Rattus norvegicus: one gene and its partners. The protein of the gene in region 1 interacts with the protein of each later gene in a pairwise test. Links are inferred from orthologs where the notes say so. Each region holds a gene or a part of one and is shown in the gene's direction. Other genes may lie near its edges.

Region 1 (3,065 bases):
TGATTGCCTGCTGAGTCTAAGTTTAACTGAAGCCTTGGCTTTCTGTAGCCTTTGAAGAAGACTTGGTTAAGTTTTGTGGAAGAAAAAGAGCTCAGATTTCTAATGTGGGCTCCAGAAATCAAAGTGGAGCCGAAGAGCCTGAATTTGAAATGACAATAGGCAGAGTAGAAAGCAGCCTCCATCCAACACCCCTCCCCCAATCCCCACCCCTATTCACACATAAAGAGAGCTCTGGGTTCTGCATTCCCAGTTTTCATTAAGGGGCTCTGGGGCTGGACATCCCTGAAAATTAAAGACCATGAGTGAGCCTCCTGACATAGTGGTCACCAAGACTCCTCACACCGAGTCCAGGCTTTCTGCGATGTCTGAACAGTAGGCACACACAGGAGGGGAGGGGGGCAACCAGAGGCTAATGCTGCTCTCTGTCCCCTAGGATGGCTGGCATGGTGCTGGGAGTGGGTGCTGGCGTGTTCCTCCTCGCTCTGCTCTGGGTGTTGGTGCTGCTGCTGTGTGTGCTGTTATGCAGAGCCTCTGGGATAGCTAGGTAAGGCATTCTTTCCAGCCGGGAGTCCTAGGTAAAAGCAATTAGAGGTAAAAATCGCTGACGCTCATTAAACATTTAGAATTCAGAAGATCATTTTTGTAATTACTGGCAGTTTGAACGAGTTGCATTTTAACCTCTTATCATAAGCACTAACTGTGTTATTTATGCTCTGAGGCAGAGGTGGGAGGGCAACGGAAGCGTGTTCTTCAGTTCTCACTGTGGAGGAGATGGATGGTGGGAGGGAGGCAGAGATGACGAGAAAATCTACTTTGGCTGCTCTTGAGTTCCTTGGGAGTTGTAGGCAGAAGTTTTGTCTAATTGTTCAGATTTATGGCACATGCTTGGTCCAATCCTTAAGACTTTACCATGGGCCCACAGACACTGAAGTTTACAGTGAGACGGCCTGGCCCTCAGTACCAAGCTATAACCTAATCCTGGAGACACTTGAGATACACAATGTCAGGGTTATGAACAGTAATAAACAGACAGCTGCAGTATTTGCCGAAGTGTTCTGGTCTGAAAGAACAAAGGTGTGTGGGAATGGGAGGGATGTGTATGCTATACGCATGAATGGACACTTTGTGCAGAAAACGATGAATTCCCATTGTTAGGAATTGGGAGTTACCAGGAATAAATAGGAAGATACCCAGCTGGTACCTGTCCTGGGAAGCAAGGCTTCGGGGTGGAGGACTTTGTGGTCCTTCAGGGACAAGCCAGCACAGGCCTGTGACCCCAGCACAGGCCTACCGGTTAGAAGTAGACAGTCCACAGTGCTTCTGATACTCAGGTCTCTTTGCTCCCAGGTTCTCCATCATCTTCGTCTTCCTGGGTGCTCTGATCATCACCACAGTTCTATTGCTTTTCCCTCGAGCCAGTGAATTCCCGGCCCCACAAGGTGAAATGAAGGTAAAGCTACTGGGTTTCATTTTGCTCCTAATCTCAGCCCCTCCACCCTGCCCTGAGAGCTGTTCAAGCAGTGAGTCGCCAAAGGAGCTGCAGGGCTCCTGTCCCTTTACCCTGCAAAAGGGTCTTAAGGATCTCACCCGCAGCAGCAGCACCACCGGGCAGCGATTTATCTGGTGTGACGTCATTTGCCACTTGCATCAAGTTGAATGACAGTGTAGAAAGCCACTCCTTACTTATAGACAGGAAGAGAAGAGAGTTAGGAACCAGGAACTGGCTGGCGTAGGCTGTAAGTGCCGTGTTCCCCACTCCTGGTAGCATTGGTTCAGAGTCTCAGGTCCTGGTCTAAATGGGTGTACTGCTCTCGGGGTGCTTTTCCATCCTGAGGGACTTTTTCCACTGTTGTGTTAAGAGAGTCATTTCCATCAAGAACAGTAGGTAAGAGGAGCCTTTCTATGGGAAGCAGAAGGTGAATTACAGATGCGCTCTATACCAATGAGTGTCATATTCATCCCCTAGACCACATCTGCCAGCCCCTACTTTTGTAAATAGATTTGCACCACCCCTGCCACTGTCCCATTTCTGAGACCTCACCTGTTCTGGTTCATTCCTGACTTGAGGCTGGTTCTACCGTGTGTGGCTGCTCTCAGACCCATAGGCTCTTGCTAAGGGTACTGACCTGTCTGTCCCATGACATCTTCTTGTGGTATTCTGATTTCCTCCCAATAGCTATTTTAATTTAGGAGTAGAAGCCATGCTAGTAGTTAACATTCTTAAAGGATTACTGTATTCAGAGACCTGTGCTAAACACCTTGTTTACATTGTCTCTTTGAAACCACTTGGCAACCCTAAGTTAGGTACTCTTGTTTTCCGGGTAAGAGGGTCAGGTGACCTGCTCAAATCCACACTCCAGGAAGAGCAGAGCAAGGATTTAAGCTGGGCTCTGTCCTCAGAATCTTCAAGTGTGCCGGGCAGTGGCGCACGCCTTTAATCCCAGCGTGTGGCAGGCAGAGGCAAGTGGATGTCTGAGTTTGAGGGAAGCTTGGTCTACAGAGTGACTTCCCGGACGGACAGAGCTGCACAGAGAAACCCTGTCTCAAAAAACATACTCCATCACCCCCCCCCAAAATCTTCACACTTGTTGGAACTCAATAGAATATCAAAGACCATTCTCCAAATCTGACAGATTGTCAATCTGACATAGTCCATAAAATTACATAATATTTTGAAGTAAAATGAACACACACTTCCAGCTCTACCTGAGACTAATGACGGCGAGAAGAAGGAAATTAGCTCTGGAAACTCTAAGGGAAATTATGCTTACCACACAGATTCCAGGAGTCATTCCCTTGGGTGTCAGGCTCTTCTCTGCAAATGGCCTACCCCAGTTTCTTTGTTTTTAGGAGAAGAGAGTGATACACGCTACCATGTTTGTAATTATTGCAGGTGTGACTAGTAGAAAAGGCACATTTTCAAATCAAACCCTCTCCTCCGTCATATGAGTTTCGGACCCAGGAGACAACCAGGATTGAGCAAAACATGTTTGTCAGCATGGCCAGCAGAATTGGAGCTTTCGTTCTTAGGTTCTGAGAGCCTGCCCCTGCAGGAGCCTGGCTCA
Region 2 (3,652 bases), on another chromosome or scaffold:
ACAGCAAGCCCTTTCCAAACTGAGCCATCTCCTCAGCCCCACTTTCCTCATTTTATAGATAAAGAAGCTGAGACTCTGAGAGGGTAAGCAGCTTGCTGAAGGTCACACAGCAGGCCAGGAGAGGTCTAGATTCAGAGGCCAAGCCTGTTCAGTCAGTGTCTAAATACAAGGATGTTCATGCCTCTTCTGGTTCCAGCCCACCTATCTCACTTCACAAGAGTGGCCCGGGTTTGCTGCCAGCTTCCAGATGGGCATTCTGACATCATTCCTCAGTCCCAGGCACTCACCAGTAGGCAGTAGGTCAGAGCTTTGTGCTCCGGGAACCCCTGACCCTGAGTCTTTCACACTTCATCCCCCACCAGATATGGAACACGGAGCATGGGCACTGGGAAACAAACTGTGCTCCATTATGGTGAAGCAGGAGCAGAGCCCGGAGCTTCCGGTTGACCCCCTGGCTGCCTCCTCCGCCATGGCTGCTGCTACCATGGCCACCCCACCACTGCTGGGCCTCAGCCCCATCTCCAGGCTGCCCATCCCTCACCAGGTAAGCCTAGGGACTATTCACAGGGACTGAGGGAGGGAGGGAGACGGAGGGGAGAGGGAAGGCAGTCACACCCAATGTCCTGGACTGCTCCATGCTGGGAACTTAGGTAGCTGAGGAACTTCTGCCTCCCATACTGACCACCCCTTCCCCATCCTCCAGCAGACACAGATAACAGTGCCCTCCATGCACGCTGGGCCCTCCCTGCATCAGAGAAAGCTTGCAAGGTGCCAGGCAGGGTTGAGGGGTAGTGAAGGTTATATGAATGGGAGATACCCCAGGATACTTCCTTTCCCTTTGAGTTCCAGGATTTAGAGAAAGGTCAACATGTCAATGCAAAAAGAAAAAGAAAAAAAAAAGAAAGAAAAAAGGAGTTGCATCTTAATTAGTTTGTATTTAGATTAATAAACCACGCTCGTGAGAATCCCTGCCTCCACTTCTGGAGTGCATAGGTAACAGCTACAAATCCAAGACCCTTCCAGGAACGAGGCTCAGATCACTGGCTTCTGGGAGAGGCTTTGCTGGGCCAGGTTTGTTTCCTTACTGTGCTCTGGGCATTTTGCCATCTCTTTTTACTTCAGCTTCCTTCTTTGTCAAGTAGGTGCAAGTCACGCGGCCTAAAATCCTATAGTTTAAAAAAATAAACACTAGGGAACGTGAGATGGCTCAGCGGCTAAGAGCACTGGCTGCTCTTCCAGGGGTCCTGAGTTCAAATCCCAGCAACCACAGGGTGGCTCACAACCATCTATATAAGGGGATCTGATGCCCTCTTCTGGCCAGTAGATGTATATGCAGCAGAGCACTCATACATTAAATAAATAGAATTTAAAAAATAAAAGTAAATAAGTACTAATCTCTAGCCTGGGAGTTTGCTGGCCACCCAGGTTACCTCTTCAGAGTAGGTGGGCATAAGGAAGAAAGGCCACCCTTCCCTGTCCTCAAGGTCAAGGACTAATGACCAGCTTGATCCCCAGAGACTCTAGATCGAGTGCGGCCAAAATCAGAAGGAAGAAGGGGCTGCAGTAGAAAATGAAACAGGATTCTGGGATTAAGCCCTAAATCATGCAGCTGAGCTTGGCCTGTCAGACCCTAGAGCGGAGGACTCCCATTCTGCCAGTGTAGGACACAGAAGACAGGCTGTAACTACCTGAACCCCCAAAGGGCTGCCACCACTCCACACTCCCCTCAGGTCCCCTCAGGTCCCATAGTGCTGCCATTGAGCTGAGTGAAGACCAGGGAATGGCCAAGTTCCTGGACCCCTCTGCTGGCAGCAGACCCAGTGGGGAGAGACAGTCCCAAGAGCCATGCTTTCTCATAGACCACCACTTACATGCATGCTGGTGAAATCCACATGTACAAAACCACACATGTTCCTGAAGCCATAACTAGAACATCACTTTGGAATTTAAATACTTTTTAAAGAATGTACATCTGATTGTACCCAGGCCTAACTTGACGCCCCTCAAGGGTTCTCACTGCTGCAAGCTTCCTGGACTGGGCTCCACTCCCATTTGTAACCCAGGATCCACATGACCTTTCAGCTCCGGCAGCTTTCTTTGAGCTGTGGCCAATTAATTCCTCCTGAACTATTGATCCCATTCATCCAACAGCTACAGTGGGACTAACATGACCTCCTGTGCTCATGGCAACCACATACCAAGGCCTACATGGCTTTCACAGCGAAGGGTCAGCCTCTACCTGGAAGGTGGCACGGCCCTGGATACCGTAGGAACTCTCCCTTCCTGAGACTCAGTTCAGACCTACAGTGTGCAGCCACCATTCTCTCTGATCTTCGCTGTTGTATGGCTTTCCCAAGATGAGGACTTGCCTCTCTGTTCTTGCTGAACTGATCCCAGAACTCCTGAGGCCAGCCATTCCTCTATGCAGGGCAAACCTCCAGCCTAAGGGAGGGAAGAGAGTGAACGCTTGATGGGGATTGTCCCAGGGGCAGGTGATTGAGAAGATGAATCTGTCTCTTCCTCAGGCCCCAGGAGAAATGACTCAGCTGCCAGTGATCAAAGCAGAGCCCCCGGAAATGAGCCAGTTTCTCAAAGTGACACAAGGTAAGTGTGTACATGAGAGAGACTCCTGATCATGGACAGACAGACGGCATCCTACTCCCTCCATCTAGACCACCCCTGTTCTTCAAAACTCCGGCTTCCCCCCAAATGCTCTCACCTTCTCAATCTCTCGCTCCTTGTCTATCACATCCCCTCTCCTTCTTCCATTTCTTCTGGCCTCCTTCCATCCACTCCACAGCGGAAAACACACTTTATAGCCACCACACGTCTTTTCTTCCATCCATATACCCATCCATCCACCCCCTACTCAACTGTTATTTATTTATTTTTTTTAAAGATTTATTTATTTATTATATATAAGTACACTGTAGCTGTCTTCAGATACACCAGAAGAGGGCATCGGATCTCTTTACAGATGGTTGTGAGCCACCATGTGGTTGCTGGGAATTGAACTCATGACCTCTGGAAGAGCAGTCGGGTGCTCTTAACCACTGAGCCATCTCTCCAGCCCTTTTTTTTTTTTTTTTGGTTCTTTTTTTTCAGAGCTGGGGACCGAACCCAGGGCCTTGCGCTTCCTAGGCAAGCGCTCTACCACTGAGCTAAATCCCCAGCCTCAACTGTTATTTTTTATTTTTATTAATTTTTATTTATATAAGTACACTGTAGTTGTCCTCAGACACACCAGAAGAGGGCACCAGATCTCATTACAGATGGTTGTGAGCCACCATGTGGATGCTGGGATTTGAACTCAGGACCTCTGGGAGAGCAGTCAGTGCTCTAAACCATGAGCCATCTCTCCAGCCCTCCCCTACTCAACTATTTACCCATTCACCCACTTACCCATTCACCCACTGTCCATCCATCATCCATCCATCCACCCATCTTTCTATCCATCTATCACCTGTCCATTCATCAATGAATCTGTCACTCCACCACACATCCACTCATTACCACTCACCCTATTACCCTGAGACTGGACCCATACTGTTGACTCAGAGAAAGGAAATGGAAGGACATTGGTCAGCCTGAGCCCCATGGGTCTGGTTTGACCTTAGTCCCCTCTGGACTTACAGAACTGGGACTTTAGAAA
Region 3 (4,202 bases), on another chromosome or scaffold:
GCTAAAGAGAAATGCTGTAAATAAGGGAAGAATAAATACACATGATATGTGGTTAATATTTTCATACGTAAACCATTCCTTTTTCCCCCTTCGTGTCAGTCTTGGTAGATAGTCCAAGCTGAGTTTAAATCTAGGCCCTCCCACCTCAGCCTTCCCATGTGCTGGAATTAGCTGTAAAACACTCTTACCAGCTAAAACAATCCTTTTAACTTTCTGAAATTTTATATGTCTTATTAGTAAAAAAAAAAATGCAAATAAATAAAACATCACACACCAAAAGTTGTGTCTACAGTTAGAAGAGGCATTCCAAATGGAAGCTGGAAGTTTTACACTTCCACTATCAAATATATTTTATCTACCACCAAAACCAAGAGAAAAAGCATTAGAAATAGAAATCATTTATATCCTTTTGTAAATGATGCCCATTACCTACATTCAGTTCTTCTCCATCCTCATAATCAATAGGAAAAAGAAGTTTTAGTAGAACAAAATGCTGCAGCCCAGGGACATATGAAAGACGCTTCACCTGCAACAGCTAATATTTTCAAGATGGGGCTCAGGCTTGGGTTCATCTTAAGCCTAAAACTAAGATGAAAATACTAATATCTACCTTTAAAAATATAAAAGAAACCAACCATACAGGAAACTAATTACGTGGTACACATGAACTATATATCTTTGCAGAAGCGTTCGCGTTAAGAGGCATTTTTTTTTTTAAATCTTTAGGGAGGAAAGTTCAGAGCGAAGCACCCAGGTAAGTGTTATGAAATTGGGGAGTGTTCAGATAAGATGGCCTCTTTATTACTCAATATTTTGCGGCATATTTTTTACGCAGTAGTAAAAGAAACGCACTCCACTGTGTTTGAAGGAACTACAGTCTCCCTCTTCAAGGCAGGCCGCCGCGCACTGCAAGTGGCTTTCATTTCCGTGGCGCAGAAACTTCCTAAGGAACATGGAAACCACAGCCTAAGCTCCCTCCAACACCGGCGGTGACGACAGCCTACGCGAACCCCGTGATGCCCCTCGCCTCCCACGCTCTTACCGCACAGCTCCGCCTCTGTATACGCGGCGGGGCGGGCCTTGCTCAAACCACGGATACGATTGGTTCTAGAGGAGAGGTGGGTGGGTCAGCGCTGTGACGCCACAACCTCGCGCACTGAAAGAGCGCGCGCCTAGGAAGCCGCGGCATTAGACGGTTGCGGGCGCAGGTGACTGGTTATCGTCCCTCCTGGTCTTCACGCTACTTCTGCATCGTGAGTCGGGGTACCTTGTCAGCAAGACCTCGCTCCCCTTACAGTAACTCTCATCTAGACGTCGCAACTCCGCCACCATGTTTGAGGCACGCCTGATCCAGGGCTCCATCCTGAAGAAGGTGCTGGAGGCCCTCAAAGACCTCATCAATGAGGCCTGCTGGGACATCAGTTCGGGCGGCGTGAACCTACAGAGCATGGATTCGTCTCACGTCTCCTTAGTGCAGCTTACTCTGCGCTCCGAAGGCTTCGACACATACCGCTGCGATCGCAACCTGGCCATGGGCGTGAACCTCACCAGGTGAGCGGGTGGCGGGAGCTGGGCCCCATCCCTCCCGCTTCGGCTCTTGGCGGGGCTGTGTTCCTGCACTCGCATTGGCTGGCATGGCCGTCCGCGCTTTCTGATTGGCCTGTGGTGCCGGGGACATCACCCACCAAAGCGCGCGGTTCCGAAAAGCCCGCGCTGGCTGTCGCGCCTACTTTTTTCCCGCGCCAAAGCCACAAAGCGGTAGTCAGCGGGAAAATGCGTGCTTCCGAGCTGCGCTCATTAAGTGCCTGCAGCTTTTTCTGGCCGATTTTAGCGCCTAATAAGCGAGTTCTGGTGAAAAAGGACTGTCGACTTAGAGTCTTAGAGTGACGATAGGCCTTTTCTTGACTTCTAGAATCTCACTGCGCGTCATGGATTTGCAGGAAAATCTCAGTTTTAGCTTTTAACTTTGCTACAACTACCTGTGTTAGTGCCTCCTGTATACATTTCAAGGACAATATGTGACTTATTTTGGTACAGATATATGGATTAGTGTCACTTGTATACATTTTGAAACATTTATGAAAAGGCCAGACGCGATAGGGCACACTCTCCAGTACGCTGAAAACCGAGGACACCCCACTAAAAAGGATGCGTTCTTGAATGTTGGCTTTTAGTGCATTTTACTAAATCGATTTTTAAGGATCACATATACCCGATAATTTGCTTAACCTCTGAGAGGGTTCGGGGTACCCTTATCCTCCCTAACAATTCTCCAATCATGAATGTGAAATATAAATTTAAAAATGTAAATGTGGAGACATGATGTTGATAAGCCCTGTGTCCTTTTTTTTTTCTAGCATGTCCAAAATTCTAAAATGTGCTGGTAATGAAGACATCATTACATTAAGGGCTGAAGATAATGCTGATACCTTAGCACTAGTATTTGAAGCACCAAGTAAGTTACACCCTTAAAACTCAGTTGCTACAGAAATTAAAGTGTGCTGTTTCTGTTTCTCACAATTAAAAACAACAGGGTTGTGGTAAATTTACAACATAGATATGAACATGTGCTTCAGTAACACTTGGATTTCTTTTGGTAGATCAAGAGAAAGTTTCAGACTATGAGATGAAGTTAATGGACTTAGACGTTGAGCAACTTGGAATCCCAGTAAGTATCTTGTTTCTGATGGTGTTTTACCAAGCTGTGATACCAGCTGATGCATGTTCTAAAGTGGAGTTGTGGTGTTTGCCATTTCACCAGACCACAACAGCCTAAACTTGATTGAGTTGTAAAGACATCAGAAGTCTTGTGTTCTGAGTTCTAGTTAAGGTGCTGAAACTTGAGAACATGAAGCTGAGTCTTCCTCTTTTCTAGACTGACCTTTAACCTTGCATTTACAGGAACAGGAGTACAGCTGCGTAGTAAAGATGCCATCTGGTGAATTTGCACGTATATGCCGGGACCTTAGCCATATTGGAGATGCTGTGGTGATCTCCTGTGCAAAGGACGGGGTGAAGTTTTCTGCGAGTGGGGAGCTTGGCAATGGGAACATTAAGTTGTCCCAGACAAGCAATGTTGATAAAGAAGAGGAAGCTGTAAGTAGCAAGAGGTGTCGTCCAGCTAACTGTGTCTGAAGCAGGATTGCCGGCTTAGCCATTAAGCCTTGACTTCTGTTTGTTTATTCATTCTTTCATTTTGAGATGGCATTCTGAGTAGACCAAGCTGGCTTGGAACTCAGATGATGCCACATAAGCTTTTACAGACAGGATTTGGAAAGCTAAGTGTACAACCTTTTGCTTCCTGGAAATACTCTTGACAAATCAGTGAGGATTAGCAAGTGAACGGAATGGTTGGGGGTGTAAAAGTCTTGGGATCATGTAGCTCCTCTAATAGCTTTTATGTGTTGTAGGTTCAGTTACTAGTTCATTTAATGGTGCAAAAGCAGACTGAGCAAAGTTAGGTTGTAATTTAGGCCTAGCTACAGGCAACAGGACTCAATACAATAATAAGAATATCCACAGTACCAAAGGAAATAAGACTTCATGCAACTCGGAAAGAGTTGCATTGAATACTCTGACATTTTATGTGCCTAGAGGAAGCTGGACATGGTGGCTCAAACCCATAACTGTGACACTCAAAGCAACAACAGGATGATTCTCAGTTTAAAGTCTACCTTGCAGAAAATGGATCTCAAAAAATGGGGAAGAAATTGGGATGGCAGGGGAAGATGCTTGGCAAGCCCTCATTCAAGCAGAACACACTAGTTCTCTTAATTCCTAAGTAGCCCTGACTCAAGGCTTTCTCAGGAATCAGATGTATATTTCATGGTTACACTTTTAAGTTTTGCTACCGAGCCTTAGCATCAAAGTCTGAACTAAGTGAGATTTCAGGGTTAATATGGTGAGATTCAGAGTGCTTACCACAAAGTATGTAAGGTAAATAGAAGGTGTTACTTTCTTGTCCTCTGCACAGACTTAAAGTAAATGTAAGTATAAGAATTAGAGCATAGATAGATATACACACAACTCAGAGAGCTAGTTCTTAACCTTACTCTGCTGAATTATGTCTACTTCCCTGTGAACTTCAGCTCCTCACTTCTCAAGACATTCAATCTATCAGTATTTGTCTGAAGTGCAAGCATTTCCACAACCAAAGAAATAACTTCAGTATCTACATATTCTTTATTTGAGAAGTTTAAAGA

The links.
Region 2: the proteins of Tmem218 (region 1) and Creb3l1 interact in binary tests that used the Homo sapiens proteins (3 or more experiments, as listed by UniProt). The link is inferred for Rattus norvegicus from reciprocal best matches to the Homo sapiens genes TMEM218 and CREB3L1.
Region 3: the proteins of Tmem218 (region 1) and Pcna interact in binary tests that used the Homo sapiens proteins (3 or more experiments, as listed by UniProt). The link is inferred for Rattus norvegicus from reciprocal best matches to the Homo sapiens genes TMEM218 and PCNA.

Annotation. Positions count from the first base shown.
Region 1 is NC_086026.1:45,123,413-45,126,477, forward strand, and holds part of Tmem218 (transmembrane protein 218), read left to right. Parts: intron 1-433; 5' UTR 434-434; coding exon 435-544; intron 545-1,347; coding exon 1,348-1,450; intron 1,451-3,065. UniProt on the Homo sapiens protein: May be involved in ciliary biogenesis or function.
Region 2 is NC_086021.1:98,418,033-98,421,684, reverse strand, and holds part of Creb3l1 (cyclic AMP-responsive element-binding protein 3-like protein 1), read left to right. Parts: intron 1-362; coding exon 363-544; intron 545-2,525; coding exon 2,526-2,604; intron 2,605-3,652.
Region 3 is NC_086021.1:139,952,887-139,957,088, reverse strand, and holds the start of Pcna (proliferating cell nuclear antigen), read left to right. Parts: upstream 1-1,268; 5' UTR 1,269-1,330; coding exon 1,331-1,551; intron 1,552-2,357; coding exon 2,358-2,455; intron 2,456-2,600; coding exon 2,601-2,668; intron 2,669-2,901; coding exon 2,902-3,096; intron 3,097-4,202. UniProt on the Homo sapiens protein: Auxiliary protein of DNA polymerase delta and epsilon, is involved in the control of eukaryotic DNA replication by increasing the polymerase's processibility during elongation of the leading strand.